2 linked regions of the Tribolium castaneum genome follow. The protein of the gene in region 2 purifies or fractionates together with the protein of the main gene of each other region. This does not show direct contact. Links are inferred from orthologs where the notes say so. Each region holds a gene or a part of one and is shown on either strand. Other genes may lie near its edges.

Evidence for each region.
Region 1: the proteins of vacuolar protein sorting-associated protein 41 homolog (region 2) and car purify together in Homo sapiens (affinity purification with mass spectrometry; 5 studies listed by BioGRID and IntAct, counting the BioPlex papers as one, with this or other methods). This does not show direct contact. The link is inferred for Tribolium castaneum from reciprocal best matches to the Homo sapiens genes VPS41 and VPS33A.

The regions. Positions count from the first base shown.
Region 1 is NC_087401.1:11,290,846-11,295,336, reverse strand, and holds the start of car (vacuolar protein sorting-associated protein 33A), read left to right. Parts: upstream 1-1,495; 5' UTR 1,496-1,700; coding exon 1,701-2,188; intron 2,189-2,235; coding exon 2,236-3,052; intron 3,053-4,279; coding exon 4,280-4,491. Other genes in the region: zinc finger protein Gfi-1b, read right to left, coding at 1-34.
Region 2 is NC_087401.1:16,023,805-16,027,629, reverse strand, and holds part of vacuolar protein sorting-associated protein 41 homolog, read right to left. Parts: intron 1,183-3,825; coding exon 1,010-1,182; 3' UTR 1,003-1,009; intron 1,002-1,002; exon of another isoform or gene 987-1,001; coding exon of another isoform or gene 756-986; intron 705-755; coding exon of another isoform or gene 432-704; intron 375-431; coding exon of another isoform or gene 134-374; intron 1-133. Other genes in the region: ciliogenesis-associated TTC17-interacting protein, read left to right, coding at 134-374, 432-704, 756-986. UniProt on the Homo sapiens protein: Plays a role in vesicle-mediated protein trafficking to lysosomal compartments including the endocytic membrane transport and autophagic pathways. Acts as a component of the HOPS endosomal tethering complex.

The sequences.
Region 1 (4,491 bases), about 4.7 Mb from region 2:
AACAACGCTTGGAAGGGGGTAGATTTGGGGTCATTTGCGAAAAATAAGGGCCCAACGTGGGTTTGTTTTGGATAAACAGCTGACTGTCAATGTGACATTTGGACGCACCAAGTTTAAATTCTTGCGACGAAATGCCGCAAAAAAAAGCAAGTTGTGTTGAAATAATTGTATTGTGAAAGTTATCTGATATTCTACAATCAAACTTTGAGAAAGAAGTCGGTTTAAAACCTTAATTCTAATTAATTGTGGTCAAGGTGTATTGTTGGTTGTATAACATCCTATTCAGATTACAAGAACCGCACATTTTTAAATTCTGACCTTTAGAAAAAAGTGTCGATATTATTTAATTACCAGAGATGCATTTAACATTTAAGGGGGAGAATTTCTCGATTTCCAAGATAAGTGTCCACAAGTCATTTGACGTCACATACTGAAGAAATTTATTACTCATAAGGTGGAAATTTAATTCTTAAATGTGGAAAACGCTTTAGTACGTTTTCTACCCAAAAATAAAAAATCCCAATGCATGTTCTGACTTGAGACCCATTAGCATATAACCAGTTTTATCAAACATTTAAGAAAAAGTTACAAACATTTAAGAAAAAGTTACTAATAAACAATCAGGTTATCAAAAAATAAATAAATACTGTTACAGTATAGGAAAAATTCTTAATGATTGCTTTGGAGCTTTGGATAAAAGTGAAGCAACAATTGTGCCACTGTTGAATTTTTCTAAAGCCTTCGGCGCCTCGGATCACTCACTTTTATGTGCAAAATTATCTTTTTACGGTTTCGACAAAATTTCATTTTTTCTTCATTCATATATGACAAATAGAAAACAAATTGTTACAATAGGCACCGCACAATCAAGAAGGTAAGAATGAAAGAAAGAAAGAAATAAAGAAAGAAAGAAGAAACAAGTAAGAAGAAAGAGGAAAGAAGAAAAAAGAAAGAACGAAAGAAAGAATTTAGGTTTTTTACTATTATGTATAATGTAATTTAAATAAAATCAGATTAATTAGATTAATTAAATTAATGACGCTTTTATAAACCAGTTATATACTTAGGGCCGGTTTATATGTAGAAAGCTTTGTTAAAATTTAATTCGTTGTTAAAAGTTAACAAAACGAATGGACCAACCAAATTTGTTCAATTTGGTCAGGTGATCAGTTATCCTTAATCACGCATTTAATTGCAGATTAACTTAATGACGCTTCTATTAACCGATACTTAACATACACGGTGGAGCAAAAGTAATTATCATGGTTTATTTGTGCCAGTTTGGCTGATTATGTCTTTGATTTATAAATAAGCCCCCGTAGAGGCTTCCAAAAATTGCCGTAGCGCACGGTATTTCACGTGCACATGGCGGGGTATTGGTTAAAGTTTTCAACTAGCAATAATCGCACCTCGGATTTACCTCATCGGTTACGATACTGCCACTGCGCAAAGCTGACAAACTTACCCCCTACCAATTCATTTAAAGCCACGAGGACGGCAAACGTTCATGAATCATAAACCTTAGCGCCATCTCGCACCACTCCTTCGAACATTGCAAAATAAAACAACCCCAAAGGCCCACAATCACCCAAATCCCCAATTTTGTCATCGCCCCAAAATTGTAAATCACCCCATTGTCACCACATGTCACAGTGACAGCTAACCTCAAACAACTGTCACAGTGACAGCTAACCTCGAAAATGTCATCTCATTTACAAGGGGGCCGCGTTGACATATCCCTCATCCAAACGGCGGCCCGTAACAACCTCATCACCCTCCTGGAGAAATGCCCAGGCCCCAAAGCCATCGTTTGGGACAACTCGCTTGCGGGCCCCGTGGGACTCATCGCCCAATACGCAGTCTTGAAGGAACATTCGGTCACTAAAATGTTCCCCCTGCGCCCCACACCACTCCCAGAAACAGACGTAGCCCACGTTATCTTCATAACGCGCCCCAAACTGCACCTAATGGACTTTGTGGGCTACAACGTCCACGCCGACTGCAAGACCAAAACCGGCTCCAAAAAGCAATACCACGTGTTTTTCGTCCCGAAAAAGAGCCTCCTGTGTCTGGAGCGCCTCAAGCATAACGGAGTGTACGGCAGTGTGAGTTTAGTTGAAGAGTTCCGCTGTGAGTTATTCCCGTTTGACTCCGATGTTGTCTCGATGGAAATTTCTGAAGTTTTCCGGTAAGTCCACACGTGGGTGAATATGGGGGCTCACTGTCTTTCCGCAGCGAGTACACGCTTGAAAACGACCCGACTTATTTGTACCAAACGGCACAGGCGATCATTTTTTTGCAAAAATTGTACGGCCCCATTCCGCGCGTGTGGGGCAAAGGCCCGGCCGCGCGCCAGGTGTGGGAGCTGGTGACGCGGCTCCAGCGCGAGAAGAACGCCCCCTTGAAGACGAATCAGACGTCCACCATCGACCAGATCCTGCTGATTGACCGCGGGGTGGACCTGATAACCCCCTTGGCCACGCAACTGACCTACGAGGGGCTCATTGACGAGATTTTCGGCATAAATAACTCGACTGCCCAGTTCCCCATTGACAATTTCTTGAGCAGCGAAGAGCGCACCTCTGAGTCGCTCTCCGAAGACAAGAAACAAATCATCTTGAATTCAGCCGACAAGTTATTTGCCGACATCCGCGATAAGAATTTTAACGCCGTGGGGGCGTTTTTGTCGAAGCAGGCGAAGGCGATCAGTGTGCAGTTGGATAATAGTCAGGAGCGGTCCGTGCAAGAGATGAAGTTATATGTGCAGAAGCTGCCGCAGATTTTGGCCAAGAAGAAGGCTTTGGCGCATCACACGGCCATTGCGGAGTGCATTAAAGAAGTGACTGATGGTTACGAATTTTTGGACACGCTACAAACGGAACAGGAGTTTTTGAATTGCATTGAAGTGGATAAAGCTAGTCCGTATATCGAGGATTTGATCGCACATGCCAAGCCTCTGGTCAAGGTTTTGAGACTGATTTGTTTGCAGTGTATTACCAGCTCGGGGCTCAAGCCCAAAGTGCTGGAGCATTACAAGAGGGAGCTGGTTCAGGTGGGTTTTACAAGTAGGTCATGGTTTATTGAGGGTTGCCAACTTAATTTCAAAATCACAAACCACTTCGATTAATTTTTTTTTAATTTTAACCGGTGTTATACAAAAATTTCAGCCAATATCATCAAAACTACGGATTTTGTAACAAAAATGAGCTCAGATTTGAAATGCTAAGACAATTTTACATCAGATATGTATATTTTTGACCTAATTTTTTGATTATTGTGCACTTCATGATTTTTTAAATGCAGATAAGTAGATAAAAATTTGCCCAAGTTGTTTATTTGAATTATTTGCATAATTTTGACTCGATTGCCGCAAAATTTTGCTCGAAAATAGATAACTAACTAACAAGGTCAATTTATAATTTTTTTTTTCATTTTTGCTAGAATAAAAAAAATTAAATCGACCATATTTTGATATCTCCAAAATTACGAATCTTATAACAAAAGTGAGGACAGATTTGGAATCCTCAAACAATTCTACGTGAAATAGCCATTCTTTTGACTTAAACTTTTGATTATTCTGGTCTTGATGATTTTTTATTAGCAGATAAGCAAATAATCCAGTCATAGCTGGCCATCCGTCAAACTGACACTTCTTATGTCACTCTTTTACAAAGTGTTGCCAACCTAATTTGGATTCCACAAGCCTCTTTACACAAATTAATAAAATTAAATATCTTGTAACAAAAGTGAGGACAGATTTGGAATCCTCAGATAATTTCCCGTCAAAGTGCCATACTTTTAACTTAAACTTTTGATTTTTGTGGTCTCGATGATTTTTTATTACCAGATAAGTAGATAAAAATTTGCCCAAGTTGTTTATGTAAATTATTTGCATACTTTTGACTCGATTGCCTCAAAATTTTGCTCAAAATTAGATAACTAACAAGGTCAATTTATATTTGATTTTTTTTCATTTTTGCTAGAATAAAAAAAAATTAAATCCACCATATTTTGATAATATCTCCTAAATTATGAATTTTATAACAAAAGTGAGGACAGATTTGGAATCCTTTGACAATTCTACGTGAAATAGCCATACTTTTTGATTATTCTGGTCTTGATGATTTTTTATTGGCAGATAATCAGATAATCCAATCATAGCTGGCGATACGTCAAACTGACACTTCTTATGTCACTCTTTAACAAAGTGTTGCCAACCTAATTTGGATTCCACAAGCCTCTACACAAATTAAAGAAAAAAAAATGTGAAACTTTCCAGGTGTATGGCTTACAAGCGCTCCTCGCCATCACAAACCTGGAAAAAGTGGGCCTTTTAAAGGTCCAATCAGGAACCCGACAATACACAGTCCTACGCAAAGCCCTAAGACTCACAATGGAAGACACATCTGAAATAAACCCAACTGACATAAGCTACGTACACAGCGTTTACGCCCCCTTAAGCGTACGCCTAGCCGAACAAGTAACGAAAAA
Region 2 (3,825 bases):
AAAAATTATTTCACAAAATTTGTGTTATTTTTGTTTTTTTTTTTCGCCAAAATTCACTAAAACCGGTCCTGAAAACCGCTAAAAGCACTCAAATAACACAGTCAAGTAACAAAAACTGAACATAATTTTTCAGGTACGTCCAAATGGACGACGGACTCGACCAACAAGCTTTATACGTCAGCTCGCAAGAAAATTTCTATTACTTACGTCACGACAAACGAAAAGACATATTCTACAGTCCACACAAAGCGCACAATTTAATTTGCGAAGGCGCAAATTTTGTCTTGATGCGCTATTTGGCCCTAACAAAATTTGTCGGTTTTTTCGAAGTCTCGACCTTGTACATCAATGGTAATTTATGCCGTAATATTTACGTACGTAACACTTTGCAAAAAAAATACGATAATAATTAATAAGTGAAAAAAATCCAGGAATGTAAAGGTCCATCTAGTGGCATGATCAACAACAAAAAAGTGGACGTGTGCAAAATTTATCGCACGATAATTGAAGAATGTGGCATTAAACACAAAAGCATCACTTTAATGACTTTAACTGGGAAAATACTCAAACAAGAGTGGTATTTTTGCAATTATATCCTTCAGTTGAATCCTCTGACGGATCTTAGCGCCTTTAACAAGATACCTTTGGAGAAAAAACCGCTACAGGATGATATCCAGTTACTTTCACTTTATTTGGACGCGAAAGTAAGTAAAGTTAGGGTGAAAAAAAAAGACACAAACACAAAAATGTTTCAGATGATGAGTAAAAAACAAATCGCTAATTATTTAGACGACCAGCCAGAAGTGCGTGAAATGATCTCAGATTACGTCCAAACAATCCTCCAATTAAAACCAGAGGACGTTTTCCAATTCACAGCCAAGTATTTCCTGGCTTTTACGCCGGCCCTTTTGCCACAGAGTGAATATTTCGAAGGACCGTTCAATGTGGACGATGATGAAGATTACGATTTTTGGAAATATATTTAGTTATTTGTTGGCTTACCGTTGTTTTATTTATCGGATGGATAGCAGATGCCGCATCGAGTGGTGTTTTCAGGGAGGCATTGTTCGTGGAAGGCGTGCTTGCAATTGAAAACTGTTATGTTGGTACACCTGGATGGGTCCTTTTCGAGCACCATGTGGTGACAAGCGCCACACATTAGTTCTTCCGACACGCCAATACCTTGAAAGATGTTTTTAAAGGCAATTGTTGGCGAAATTTCCGTAAAAATAAAGGAAAAATCGCCAAATCTAGAGGATTTTTTTTTAATTTTTCCCCTTTTAAAGCTTTTAACCACATTTTTTTCCATGAAGAACGAAAGAATTTATTTTCTGAATCATAAAATTAATTAAAAAACACCTTTTTCAAGCGTGTGGTGGAAAGAAATTCAATTATTTTGCAAAATTTTTTAAAATGTAAGCCAATAATTCACAAAATTAGGTCAAAAATGACGTTATTTTTGAAAGTTCTGAGTATTTAAACATAATTTTAGACCAAAATTACAAAAAATTAAATTTTCCGAGCGTTTGTTTCGCGGAAAATCCACTATTTGGCTATAATTTCTTAAAATATAAGCCAATAAATCAAAAAATTTGACAAAAATTATATTATTTTTGCAATTTTTGAATATTTAAGCACGTTTTTAAGCCAAAAAAATTAAGTTTTTTACATGTTTTTGTTAAACTAGAACAAAAAATCCACAAATTTGGTCGAAAATAACTATAAATTTCAATATTTGATTCGTAGAAAGTCCATTTTTTGCAAAATTTCTTACAAAGTAAGCAAATAAATCGGAAAATTGGGGCAAAAATGTCATTATTTTTGCAAGTTCTGGGTGTTTTAGCAAGTTTTAAAGCCAAAAATTAAGTATTTTTTGCATGTTTTTGTTAAACTAGAACGAAAAAATCACCAAATTTGGTCAAAAATAACCAAAAATGTACCTTTTCCAATCTTTTGTTCAGCAAAAACTCAATCATTTCGTAAAATTTCTCACAAAATAACCCAATAATTCACAAAATTTGGTCAAAAATGACGTTATTTTTGAAAGTTCTGAGTATTTAAACATAATTTTAGACCAAAATTACAAAAAATTTAATTTTCCGAGCGTTTGTTTCGCGGAAAATCCACCATTTGGCTATAATTTCTTAAAATATAAGCCAATAAATCAAAAAATTTGACAAAAATTATATTATTTTTGCAATTTTTGAATATTTTAGCACGTTTTTAAGCCAAAAAAATTAAGTTTTTTACATGTTTTTGTTAAACTAGAACAAAAAATCCACAAATATGGTCGAAAATAACTATAAATTTCAATATTTGATTCGTAGAAAGTCCATTTTTCGCAAAATTTCTTACAAAGTAAGCAAATAAATCGGAAAATTGGGGCAAAAATGTCATTATTTTTGCAAGTTCTGGGTGTTTTAGCAAGTTTTAAAGCCAAAAATTAAGTATTTTTTGCATGTTTTTGTTAAACTAGAACGAAAAAATCACCAAATTTGGTCAAAAATAACCAAAAATGTACCTTTTCCAATCTTTTGTTCAGCAAAAACTCAATCATTTCGTAAAATTTCTCACAAAATAACCCAATAATTCAGAAAATTAGGTCAAAAATGACGTTATTTTTTAAAGTTCTGAGTATTTAAACATAATTTTAGACCAAAATTACAAAAAATTAAATTTTCCGAGCGTTTGTTTCGCGGAAAATCCACTATTTGGCTATAATTTCTTAAAATATAAGCCAATAAATCAAAAAATTTGACAAAAATTATATTATTTTTGCAATTTTTGAATATTTAAGCACGTTTTTAAGCCAAAAAAATTAAGTTTTTTACATGTTTTTGTTAAACTAGAACAAAAAATCCACAAATTTGGTCGAAAATAACTATAAATTTCAATATTTGATTCGTAGAAAGTCCATTTTTTGCAAAATTTCTTACAAAGTAAGCAAATAAATCGGAAAATTGGGGCAAAAATGTCATTATTTTTGCAAGTTCTGGGTGTTTTAGCAAGTTTTAAAGCCAAAAATTAAGTATTTTTTGCATGTTTTTGTTAAACTAGAACGAAAAAATCACCAAATTTGGTCAAAAATAACCAAAAATGTACCTTTTCCAATCTTTTGTTCAGCAAAAACTCAATCATTTCGTAAAATTTCTCACAAAATAACCCAATAATTCACAAAATTTGGTCAAAAATGACGTTATTTTTGAAAGTTCTGAGTATTTAAACATAATTTTAGACCAAAATTACAAAAAATTTAATTTTCCGAGCGTTTGTTTCGCGGAAAATCCACCATTTGGCTATAATTTCTTAAAATATAAGCCAATAAATCAAAAAATTTGACAAAAATTATATTATTTTTGCAATTTTTGAATATTTTAGCACGTTTTTAAGCCAAAAAAATTAAGTTTTTTACATGTTTTTGTTAAACTAGAACAAAAAATCCACAAATATGGTCGAAAATAACTATAAATTTCAATATTTGATTCGTAGAAAGTCCATTTTTCGCAAAATTTCTTACAAAGTAAGCAAATAAATCGGAAAATTGGGGCAAAAATGTCATTATTTTTGCAAGTTCTGGGTGTTTTAGCAAGTTTTAAAGCCAAAAATTAAGTATTTTTTGCATGTTTTTGTTAAACTAGAACGAAAAAATCACCAAATTTGGTCAAAAATAACCAAAAATGTACCTTTTCCAATCTTTTGTTCAGCAAAAACTCAATCATTTCGTAAAATTTCTCACAAAATAACCCAATAATTCAGAAAATTAGGTCAAAAATGACGTTATTTTTTAAAGTTCTGAGTATTTAAACATAATTTTAGACCAAAATT